Macaca fascicularis: one gene and its partners. The protein of the gene in region 1 interacts with the protein of each later gene in a pairwise test. Links are inferred from orthologs where the notes say so. Each region holds a gene or a part of one and is shown in the gene's direction. Other genes may lie near its edges.

The links.
Region 2: the proteins of AP4B1 (region 1) and TEPSIN interact in binary tests that used the Homo sapiens proteins (3 or more experiments, as listed by UniProt). The link is inferred for Macaca fascicularis from reciprocal best matches to the Homo sapiens genes AP4B1 and TEPSIN.
Region 3: the proteins of AP4B1 (region 1) and ZNF576 interact in binary tests that used the Homo sapiens proteins (3 or more experiments, as listed by UniProt). The two-hybrid records come from large-scale screens. The link is inferred for Macaca fascicularis from reciprocal best matches to the Homo sapiens genes AP4B1 and ZNF576.

What each region holds. Positions count from the first base shown.
Region 1 is NC_088375.1:120,464,742-120,468,877, forward strand, and holds the start of AP4B1 (AP-4 complex subunit beta-1), read left to right. Parts: upstream 1-1,335; 5' UTR 1,336-1,364; intron 1,365-1,497; exon of another isoform or gene 1,498-1,566; intron 1,567-1,569; exon of another isoform or gene 1,570-1,656; intron 1,657-1,804; 5' UTR 1,805-1,880; coding exon 1,881-1,993; intron 1,994-3,734; coding exon 3,735-3,959; intron 3,960-4,136. Other genes in the region: DCLRE1B (5' exonuclease Apollo), read right to left, coding at 823-1,011.
Region 2 is NC_088390.1:87,656,969-87,660,596, reverse strand, and holds part of TEPSIN (AP-4 complex accessory subunit tepsin), read left to right. Parts: intron 1-2,336; coding exon 2,337-2,404; intron 2,405-2,609; coding exon 2,610-2,688; intron 2,689-2,822; coding exon 2,823-2,894; intron 2,895-3,441; coding exon 3,442-3,628. UniProt on the Homo sapiens protein: Associates with the adapter-like complex 4 (AP-4) and may therefore play a role in vesicular trafficking of proteins at the trans-Golgi network.
Region 3 is NC_088393.1:51,631,802-51,635,946, forward strand, and holds the start of ZNF576 (zinc finger protein 576), read left to right. Parts: upstream 1-1,286; 5' UTR 1,287-1,447; exon of another isoform or gene 1,448-1,792; 5' UTR 1,793-1,804; coding exon 1,805-1,889; intron 1,890-3,532; coding exon 3,533-3,960; 3' UTR 3,961-4,145. Other genes in the region: IRGQ (immunity-related GTPase family Q protein), read right to left, coding at 1-43. UniProt on the Homo sapiens protein: May be involved in transcriptional regulation.

The sequences.
Region 1 (4,136 bases):
GAGGCTGAGGCAGGAGAATGGCGTGAACCCGGGAGGCGGAGCTTGCAGTGAACTGGAGTGTCCTCCAGCCTGGGCAACAGAGGGACACTCCGTCTGGGTGGGGTGGGGGGAGAGTTCATCAAACAGTCTAGTCAGCAATTTTCAAACTTACTCCTGATCTTAATATCTTGGAGACTTAAGGGTGGGGTGGGGAGAGAGCTGGAGAACCACCCAGCACGTTAGGTGGATTCTTAAGATAAGGCATATTTAGGCGGGGCGTGGTGGCTCACGCTTGTAATCCCAGCACTTGGGGAGGCTGAGGCGGGCGGATCACTTAAGGTCAGGAGCTTGAGAACAGCCTGGCCAACATGGTGAAACCCCGTCTCTACGAAAAATACAAAAAATTAGCTGGGCGTGGTGGCGTGCGCCTGTAATCTCAGCTACTCAGGAGGCTGAGACAGGAGAATCTCTTGAACCCGGGAGGCGGAGGTTATAGTGAGCCGAGATCGTGCCACCGCACTCCAGCCTGGCAGCAACAAGAGCGAGACTCCGTATCAGGAAAAAAAAAAAAAAGCAAGTTTGGGAAACATCAGCCTAGCTTATGTATAAAGGTAGCAATAGTTTCCTTGGCTGGACTAAAATATCTCCTCAACTTATAGCTAAATATCTCAAGTTGGTCACTTGGAAACCACGTTCCTATTCTGAGTTAAAGATGCATTTTTGGGTTCAAACAACTTCCGCATCAGTCTTGGTGGCCCCCATTCTATGACTCAAAGAATGACAGGTCGAAGTCCCAACCCAGATGCCTGGACCACCTCTTGGAGACTGACTCCAGCCCCATACCTGTAGGTGACGATGCAAGAGGTGGGCTGTAATCGGGGAGCAGTAGAGGGGCCGGGCCCAGGTGCTAGACAGGCCCACGGTGTGGTCCGAGTGCATGTGAGACAAGAAGAAGAGCCGTGCGGTGCCAGCCCGACGCAGGCTCCAGAAGTCCACTGCAATGGGCGTGTGGGGGATCAGGACCCCATTCATGGTGGCAGGGTTGTAGTCACCAGTGGGATCTTCTCCGCGGGGGCAGGGCTCCTGCGTGAGGCTTCCACAACGGCGCCCCGATAAAAGTCATGCTGGGGCAAGAACAGGGCCAGATACCCTAAGGGAAAGAGCCCAGCAGAGGAATAAGTCACTAGAGTGGGCAGAAAAAGGAAGTGACCGTGCCGGCGCAAGCCCAAATAGCGGAGGGCGCTTGACACTCCCAACCGCGCGGGAGCTGAGGCCAAGCCGGGCACTCAAAGCGCGCGCTGCTGGGAGGAGACAGGCCGAAGTAGCCGATTTCCGATTGCCCGCCGCAGCTCCACCAGAGGGAGCCGCGCGACTGCGCCTGGAGGGTGAGAGGTTGAGGGAAGGGCATCCTAAGGTCGGAGTCGGGACCAAGCTCAGCCCTCGCTCGCTGGGAGACCGGCAGCGCGCTTCTGTTTGGTCTCCTGACAAGGGGGCGGGACTTCCGCAGAAAGGAAGATTGGGCCTATCTGCGATGAGAACGGCTTGAAGGCGCAGGAAAAGCTGGAACTGGAGAGGGAGGGGTCTGCGGTCAGTCGGACGCGGCGCTGGAAATCCGGCGGAGGGCCTAGTGTTAGCGGGAGCGATCTGTGGGCGGGGCGAACGGCCTGCCGGGCGAGGGTAGGGCCTGAAGAGCCCAGGGTGGGGCTCGCGGGGTCGCGGAGGGCGTGGAAGTGTGTCAGGGCCAGCGTGCCGGCCCTACGGAAGCCGAGCCTGAGGCGAGATTTCGTCTTTAGTATTTTCACTGACTCATATTTCCTTTACTCAGGCTCCCACATCAAGACGAGAAGGAGCCCACGAGTTACCGTGGGAGCTGTGGGAGCTGCCCTGTGACTGTTAGGAAGATGCCGTACCTTGGCTCCGAGGACGTGGTGAAGGAGCTGAAGAAGGCTTTGTGTAATCCTCACATTCAAGCTGATAGGCTGCGCTACCGGAATGTCATCCAGCGAGTGATTAGGTATCACCTAACTCCCGTCGCGTGCTGTTTGCTCCCTTTGCAATCCCCATCAGGGCTCACTAGCCCCAGTCTCTCTGAAAGGGTAAATTAGCTTTCACACGTGGCAATTATATGGTTCGGTCTTCGTCCTGCTGCTTTGGAGTACTATCTCAGTCTCTCCTCTGCAGCATCTTTTACTTACCTGGGTAGTTTCCTCCATATCACAGGCTTGAACAATTACTGCTAACTCCTGGATCTATAATATAGCTAGTACAGACTTCTTTTTTTTAGCTTCAGACCCACGTATCCCACTGCCTGCTTGGCATTTCCACTTGCATGGTTTATCAAAAGTATGTCCGAAATAGCACGGACATTCTTCCGTCTTCCTCAAACCTGTTCTTCGGCTTACATTTGTGTTGATGAATGCCACCAGCAGTGACTATGCGTGGGAGCCAACCTTGAGGACACCCGATCCCCACTTCTCATGTCAGATGGTTTGAATTCATAATTCTAAATATCCACCCTCTCTTGTTTATTGGCGTTGTTGCTCTGGTCCAGGCCTTCATCACCAAAGCAATTGCAGCAGCTTACTAGTAGGCCACCTTGCCTCATTTGAGACAGAATTTTCCCATTATACAAATCTGAACATATAACTCTTGCCTACAGCTATGGTTCACAAACTTTACGGTGCACAAAAATCCCTGGGGGTGCTTTTTGTCATCCAGTCCAGGGATTGATTCTGATTTCAGTAAGGTAGGAGGGAACCCAGGAATCTGTATTTTTAATAAACATCTCAGCTGATTCCAGTAGGCGACCAGTTTGAGAAACAATGAAGTCCAAACTTACCACAGCACCCAAGGAACAAGCTGTTAATTCAACTACCTACAGACTCAAAAAAATGTATGCCACTCCTGCTCATGTCTACATACCTCATACCTTCTGTTACATCGATTACATCTGCCTAGTGAGCTCTTGCTCATTCTGGTAAAGTGTTACTTCCTCTGTGAAGAAACATTTTCTGACTTCCTGCCGGTGTTAGACCTCTGAATCCCCTCTGCGCCTTGTACAATACTTCTATTTAAATACTTATCAATCATACCATAATTAACGGTATTTTTATCTGGCTCATTAATAGATCTGAAGTTCCTAGAGGTCTGAGACCACGCCTTCTTCAAGATTATGTCCCAAGAGCATGTCCCTGGATGTAAAAGTTGAATTTCACCAAAGTACTAGGGATTCAATAAGTGTCTGTTGAGGCTGGGCATGGTGGCTCACGCCTGTAATCCCAGCACTTTGGGAGGCCAAGACGGGTGCATCACCTGCAGTCAGGAGTTCGAGACCAGCCTGGTCAACATGGCAAAACCCCGTCTCTACTAAAAATACAAAAATTTAGCCAAGCATGGTGGCACGCACCTGTGGTCCCGGCTACTCAGGAGGCTGAGGCAGGAGAATCACTTGAACCTGGGAGGCGGAAGTTGTAATGAGCCGAGATTGTGCCACTGCACTCTAGCCTGGGTAACAGAGCAAGACTCCATCTCAAAAATAATAATAAGTGTTTGTTGAATGAATAGAAGAAGAATGTTTATTGCAGACCTACGGTATGAAGTACTGTGTGATATAATAGACAAGGTAATCCTGGCTGCTACCCTCTTAAGAGATCACAAGCTAGTTGGGTAACCAGGAGATATGTAAGTAAAACTCCCTCCATTGTTAGTTGGGGATTTTGCATTTTACTTCTTTCTGTCATGTGCGTTGGTTTCAGGTACATGACTCAGGGTTTGGACATGTCTGGTGTTTTTATGGAAATGGTGAAGGCCAGTGCCACTGTAGATATTGTCCAGAAGAAGTTGGTTTATCTGTACATGTGCACATATGCTCCCCTGAAACCAGATCTGGCTCTCCTGGCCATCAATACGCTGTGCAAAGACTGCTCAGACCCCAATCCAATGGTGCGAGGGCTGGCGTTACGGAGCATGTGTAGCCTCAGGTGAGTACCGTCTTCTCTGTCTGGTCCTAAATGGCTGATGACTTCAAGAGATCACGCAGTAGGTTTTTAAAGAGGATAATTTATTTGAGCTCCTTAATACTGGGGAAAACATTATTGTACCCTGAACTTAGATTTTCAGCCACTGCTTTGGCTTAATAACCTGTATCATATAATTTT
Region 2 (3,628 bases), on another chromosome or scaffold:
GGACTTGTGGGGGCTTGGCCTGAGATCTTCCATGGGGCTCCAGGTGGTCACTGGGCACACCATGTCTGGACCCCAGCCCAGCCCCTGAGAGGGGAATTCTGGGGAGGGAGTGTCTGTCGTGCCGCTGCTTGCTTATGGAGACCCTAAGCGTGTCCATCCACTGGGCTCACCCCAAAACCGGCGTCGAAACCAGTGTTGCCCCACTTTGTGACAAGTGGGCATGCAGCTCTAGGTGTCCCTCAGGGGCCAGTGCCCTGGGCCACCATCGACAGTTGTGACACATGACTTAGGCGGTAGATGCCCCTGAAGGAACGGCTGTGTGAGGGCGCTCTCGCCATTCTAATAGAGCTCCTCACAGCTTTGGGGCCAAGGCAGTACCAGCCATTTATCCTCACCATTCAGCGGGTCAGAGGGCCCCGGGCTCCCAGGCCACTCCCGTGGCTGTGGTTGGTGCATGTACGTTGTGGCTTCAGTGGTCTCGGGGACATGCCCTGGGGTGGGGGCTGCAGCAGGTGTGGGGATGGGGCATGGCAGGCCCCGAGGTTGGGAAAGGCTGTTCTTCAGACCTTGGGTTCTTGTTGGCACTAGAGTCTGTCCTGTGCAGAGGCAGTTGTGGATGATGGCTGTCGCCTGCCGTGCCTGGGCACTGGCCCTGGGCGGGGCACAGGATGTGGGAGGTGTCACGACAGCCCTGTGAGGAAGGCAGGCGCACATGAGAGACGGGGCGGCCCCCGCCAGGCGGCGGGTGTGCAGTGAGGATGGCCCACCCCACGCACGCAGAGCGTCAGAAAGAGGAAAGAAACACAAAACGCAGCTGACAGTTAAAGACGGGTTTTCTGTTTTGTTTTGTTTTTTTTTTTGAGACAGAGTCTTGTTCTGTCTCCCAGGCTGGAGTGCAGTGGCGCGATCTCAGCTCACTGCAAGCTCCGCCTCCCGGGTTCACGCCATTCTCCTGCCTCAGCCTCCCGAGTAGCTGGGACTACAGGCGCCCGCCACCGCGCCCGGCTAGTTTTTTGTATTTTTAGTAGAGACGGGATTTCACCGTGTTCGCCAGGATGGTCTCGATCTCCTGACCTCGTGATCCGCCCGCCTCGGCCTCCCAAAGTGCTGGGATTACAGGCGTGAGCCACCGCGTCCGGCCCAAGACAGGTTTTCTTTAGTTAAAACCTGAGAGGCGCCCCCAGCCGATTGTGGTCAGAAGCCCCTTCTCTTACAGACTAAGCGTGTGTTGGTTTTGGGGTGAGGGCTCGTCAGGAGCTCGGAACGTGTGTGTGGAGAAGTTCGTGGCCGGGCTGGAAGGACGGCAGGTTATCCTGGGACATCTTTCCAGCCCGGAGGTGGGTTCTCTCGAAGCTGGCGTCTTCCCGGCCGGAGGAGGGTTGTCTCGGGCTGGCATGTCTCTGGTCGGGGAGGAGTTTGGAGTGTTTCTGGTTGGAGATGTTATTTGTAGTTTATGGTTGTGCTGACTTTAGCCATTAGGCTGATGCCTTTTGGATTTAGGCGGTTTTTGGTTAAGGTGAACTTTAGAATGAGGGGCTTGTCCAAGACGGTGATGCTCCTGCTCTGTCACAGAGGAGGGCCAGCGCGAGGTGGCAGGCGGGTGCCCTGGGCTCCTGCGGGAAGATGGCAGCTGCAGGGGTCAGTTTATCCAGCCACTGACTCAGCTTGCGGCTGCCACCCTGGGCCCAGGGACAGCCAGGGGCGTCGTCTGCGAATCACAGGGCCAGCCTGCCAGGGTGGCGAGTGGATTCATCTGTGACTGAGGCTCTCCAAGGGTTCTCAGAGGCGCGGCTGTCAGCATGAGCCCTGAAAGGATGCCTCGGCTCCAGGTGCAGGCTCAGGAGGCTCTGGGGCCGGAAGATTTAAGGACAGAAGTCCCAGTTCACCGTGAGAGGAACTCTCAGGGCAGGGGAGCCCGAGGTGGCTGAGACTGAGGATGGGTGGGTCCAGGCGGAGCTTTCAGGCTGTGATAAGAAGGCTGGTGTCTCCCTCCAGGCCCCGGCAGCCTCCGAGGGGTCCCTGGTGCACCTGGGGCAGGGAGAGTGGGCTGCAGGGAGGCCGCACCAGCTCAGGCACCAGGGGTTGCCAGCCCTGGGGGAGGCGAGGTGGTTGCGTGGAGAGAGACTCGCCTCTGTGGGGCATGGGTGGGGGGAGCTGAGGGTCTGCTCTGGTGTGGCCTCTGCGGGGTCCTGGAGGAAGGCGTGCCAGTGGCCGTGACAGAAGGGCCCGGGTGGCAGGAACTTGCCACCCTGGAGTGGGCCCAGTTCACCATGTTCTGCAGGGAGCAGCGGTGCCAGGCTCAGCCCTGCCCCCCACTTGCCTTTTATGTTCTGCAGCTTTTGCGGGGCCCCCAGATCCTCTGCACGGGAACAGCTTGTACCAGAAGGTTCGGGCGGCCGCGCAGGTGAGCCCAGGAGCAGTGTCGCTCTGCGGGGTGCCCTTCCTCCTGTAGAGGGCAGGACTGGGGCCAGGATGTCAGCTGGGGGGTTTGCAGTTCCCCTGCCCGGGACCCCTGCCTCTGGGGGACAGAACACAGCTGATACGAGTGGCAGGGTGAGTACAGGAGGCCCCGGCATGAGGACGCTGAGGGCCTCCGCCTCCCCATGTAGGACTTGGGGAGCACCCTGTTCTCGGACACCGTGTTGCCACTGGCTCCCTCCCAGCCTCTGGGGAACCCGCCTGCCACAGGTAGGTGACCGAGGGGACTGTGTCCAGTCCCGGCACCGGGTTTCTGCCTCCCTGAGTGTCCTCGGCGTCTGTGCCACCCATGGGCAGGGCCGACGGTGGGGGCCGACTTACCGCTGACAGAGGACCCTCTGCAGGCATGGGCTCCCAGGCCAGGCCGCACGGCACCCTCCAGGGTTTCGGCTACAGCAAGGAACATGGCCGCACGGGTGAGTGGGAAGGGCCTGCATGGGCCCCGGCATCTCAGGGTACAGGAATGAGGAGGGCGGTGGGGGCCGGACCATGCTGCCCCACCTGGTAGCTGCTGCCCCCCGTCCCCTCCCCTACACGGCCTCAGCCCTTCCTGGGGCTGTCCCTACTGCTGCCGTGGGGGTGGGGCAGGTGTGGCCAGGGCTGCTTTACGGACAGGCGAGAGAAACCAGGCCCAGCAAGAAGTCAGGGCTGGGTCCCATGGCAGGGGGAGTCCCACTCCAAGAGGGGCTGAGGGCTGTCCCCTGGCTGTAGTGTGAGTGACTCGGGCAGTCCTGTGTGGAGCTGTTACAAGCTGGGGCAGTGCCAGTGGACAACTACTCATTAGCGCCAGAAGAACCACAGGTGGCACCACGGCCTGCAGCTGGGACCCAGCCCCCGGCCCAGCTGTGCCCTGCTGCCAGGCCCCGGGCGGTGTCTCGCCGCTCACCGTTAGGCTGTGTCACACTGTCCTGCACGCAGCCCGGGGCTCCTGCTGACACTTTGGTGTGGGGGCACCTTCTACAGGGAGCTCACACGGGAAAGGCCGGCCCCTCCCCAAGCCCTGGACACACCTCCCTGAGCCAAGGCCGAGCCCAAGCCCCTTAGGACACCCTCACCCCCAGAGGACAGAGCAGAGGGACGGAGGCATAACTGCTGTGAGCTGGGTGTCTAGGCCACTGGGCGTGGGAATGCCAAAGTGGAGTCCACCGGG
Region 3 (4,145 bases), on another chromosome or scaffold:
GCCCCAGGAACAAGGCGGTCACGTCACCCTGCGGCGGAGGCATGGCTGGAAAGCAACGGGTGAAGACCTGGGTCAGGGAGCACCTAGCCTTTTCCTTTCCTAGCCGCCCCACTCGGAACAAAGGCCTCAGTCCTCCCCCCGGTCCCCTTCAGTTCTTGAGTGTCTCTCTCCAGGACCTAAAAAATCCAGAGCCCAGACCCTCTTCCCCAGGGATTCCAGGCGCCCTGTCTGTCCGCCCTCTTTCTAGATGGAAACGTTTCCCTTTCTGCTTCAAAAACTCTGCAATCAGGCGCGGTGGCTCATGCCTGTAATCCCAGTGCTTTGGGAGGCCGAGGCGGGAGGATCGCTTGAGGCCAGGAATTCGAGACCAGCCTGGCCAACATGTGGGACTCTCTGGTAGAGTCTCCGTCTCCACAAAAAATAAAATTTAGCCGGGCCATGGTGGCGTGCGCCGGTAGCCCCAGCTACCCGGAAGGCTGCGGCGGTAGGATCGCTTGAGCCCAGGAGTTGCAGGCTGCAGTGGGCAGTGATCACACCACCGCACTCCAGCCCAGGCGACAGAGCAAGACACTCTCTCAAAAATAAATAAATAAAAATAAAACCTCAGAAATCTGGCTTCCAGTCCCTCCTCCCTCGGACGCATTGTTATTTTTATCCTTCCCCTTCCCCCTTCCACATCACAAACCGAGCAAAAAGCCGACCCACGGGATGAGCGCAGTCGGTGGCGGTGGGTCAGCAACTGAGAAGCCCGACCCCTCGGCCGCAGCGGACGGAGGCCGAAGAGGCCAGGGCGCGGTGATTTAAAGATGCCGGGACGCGTCCCAGTAGCTTTAACCTGACGTCACTCCCTCTTCCAAGGGGGTGTGTCTTGGAAGCGCTACCGCAGAGACCTAGCCCTTCGCAGCGCCTGCGCAGAACGGCCGAAGTGCTCACGCCCCTGTTCGGCGGCCTCGGGGCCTCGAACAATGAAGGAGTCAACGCGCCTGCGCGCCACGAGCACCTACCCAGACTTGCGCAAAAAGCTTCGGTACCTACGCCGCGGGAGGGTAAACGTCATCATAACGCACCATAGTGCAGAGAAGGACCCCTCCCGTTATTTTGAGGACCGGACTGGTGCGACTATACTACTGCCGGATGCCAAATCCGGGATCTCGGCTCCGAGAGGCTCATCTGGCAAAAAGGCGCGGAAACCACGGGGGCCCTGAGACTGAGTGGGCTATCCCACTTCTCTCTGGGTGGCGGGGCTGTAGCTAGCGACTGACAGGCGCAGCGAAAGGCAGCCCTCTGCTGTACGGAGGAAAACTGAGGCCTGGGAGCAGGAACCTGTAGGCAGCGCTTGAGGGTAGCGGGATAGCAGCTGCTAGTGCGCGTGGGAGGCGGGGGCTCTGGGCGGAACAAAAATCACAGGATGTCAGAGGATGTTTCCCGGGAAGAACTGGAATAAAGGGTGGGTATCACTACCTGCTCCAAGACACTTGAGACTGGGATGACGCTGGTGTCAAAGATCAAGACTCCCACGCTGAGTTCAGGGAGTTAGTTTGATGCAGCAGGTCATAGGTCACACCAGTGAAAAGACTCTTGAGTCCCAAACCCAGGAAGTCTTTTGGGAGGTTTGAAGCTTCTCTTAGCAAGAACTCCATCAATTAGAGTTCAAGGAGATAGTATGTCGTAAGGGTCAAAAGCAGGCAAGGAGAGCCTATGGCGATGTCAAAGGTCATAGACTTAGGGTGCCCTCTAAGACTGGTAACAGATGAACAGCTTCACTCATGCACGCTCCTCTCCTGACTAGAAGGGTCCCAGCACCATGGAGGACCCGAACTCTGAAGAGAACATGAAGCAGCAGGATTCACCCAAGGAGAGAAGTCCCCAGAGCCCAGGAGGCAACATCTGTGAGTACACATGGCTGGCTGGCTAGAGGAGGGCGGGGTGCAGGAGCTGATGCTAAGAAGATCTCTGTGGCACTTCAGTGTCCAAGGCGCCACAGAGTTTTGCCTGTTGAGAAGGGGCTGTAATGGTCCCTGAGCTGCCCTAGCAGGAAGTGCATCTCCTCACACCGGCTTATGTGGCCAGAGTACTCACCCTCCTCTGGCCACATAAGCAGGATTGCAACGCTTATGCATTCAGAGGGATAGGGTGGCTTCCAAGAGAGGCTTGGGTTGGAGACGTGGCTGGGAATGGTTCTATTGGGAGAAAAGCCCCAAGATTCTGGTCCCACCTGTGTCCTAGACTTTCAGTGTAACTTGAGCCTTGGCTTCCCTGACTGTCAAAAGAGGGTGGCACTATCCACCTCACAGGGTGGTTATGGGATTAACTGCAGCAAAGGGGAAAGCCAGGGGTTAATGATGGTAGCCAGTTTGCCATGTAATAGCAACACCTCCTGCTGCTTTATTATGAGCTAGGTGTATTTATTCTCATATTATGAACGATTTTAACATTCATTATCTCATTCAGTCCTTCTAATAATAGGCCCTTTAAACTGGGAACTGAGGCAGAGAGAGGTATTTGTAACAAGAGCTGTAGTCTCAATGCCCTTGAGCCTGAGATTACCGGAAACACACGTGCAGTTGAACACGTTGGGTTTATTTCTCGCTGCAATGAAGAACACACACCATGGGGGAACTGTGGGGTGTCTCACTAAGAGTGGTAAAAACGACATAGGATTTGGGCTTGTGGGTGGTGATTTTGGGGAATGTGCGAGCAAAATTGTTTTGCTGTGGATTGGATGCTACCAGGAAGCAGGGGCAATTCTATGATTGGCTATCGTAATAAATCTTATCCAGAAGGAGGAAGGAAGAAGGCAAGGCTCAAGCTCTGACTGATAAAGTAGCAGCAGACATTCACATGAGCCAGGATAGGAGGATGTTTGGTCATTTTTCTGCTTGGACAGCATTCATATTTTGTCTGTGCTCAGACATTATTATGATGTAGTCTTGTCTTGATTCATTCTAGTCACAGCATGACCTTGTCTGTCCTTGATATTTTGTGAAAAATTATGTTCAACAGAACACCAAGGTCTAGCTGTGAGTACCAGGCCATATCCTGGATGTCGGGCTGGATTTCTCTGTTATCATTAGTCATAATTGCAAATGACTGTACAGCAATTCATTTATTCCTTCCAACAGTCCTATGGAGTAGATACTGTTATTAGCCCATTTTCCAGATAAGGAAACTGGTGTAATTGCCTAGGAAGTGGTGGAGCTGAGATTCAATCCCAGGCAGTCTGGCTCCAAAGGCTGTGCTGTAATCACCATACCCCTCTGTTGGGCAGGCTGACTCTCTGGGTTCCAACCCTGACTCCACCATTTCCTTTCCTAGCCTCATTGACTATGGGCAACTTGCCTAACCTCTTTGAATCTCAGTTTGCTCATCCATAAAATAGGTCCAAGAACAGTTCTCCTGTTTGGTTGTCCAGCATTAGCATAGAACCGAGCACATAGCACACTCAATGTTAATTGTTGGTATGATTCTGGGGTTCAGGAGAGGTCCTGGAGACTCCTGCCGGCCTCCCCTGACCTCTCCGCACATCTCTCAGGCCACCTGGGGGCCCCGAAGTGCACCCGCTGCCTCATCACCTTCGCAGATTCCAAGTTCCAGGAGCGTCACATGAAGCGGGAGCACCCAGCGGACTTCGTGGCCCAGAAGCTGCAGGGGGTCCTCTTCATCTGCTTCACCTGCGCCCGCTCCTTCCCCTCCTCCAAAGCCTTAATCACCCACCAGCGCAGCCACGGTCCAGCCGCCAAGCCCACCCCACTGGTTGCAACCACTACTGCCCAGCCCACCTTCCCTTGTCCTGACTGTGGCAAGACCTTTGGGCAGGCTGCTTCTCTGAGGCGGCACCGCCAGATGCATGAGGCCCGTGCCCCTCCTGGCACCTTCGCCTGTACAGAGTGCGGTCAGGACTTTGCTCAGGAAGCAGGGCTGCATCAACACTACATTCGGCATGCCCGAGGGGAGCTCTGAGTGCAGCTTAAGCGTCTCCGTGGTGACAGGTGGCTCTGTGGCCAGTAGGACTCACCCATGATACGGGGTGCAGGAATTCCGGGGGCCCTGAGGGATTTGCTTCCCTCCCCTGGGAAGGCAGAGGGCTCCTAATAAAGAGGACCCAGAAGATTCTCATTTAGAGCTTCAGTCTTTGGAGGACACAG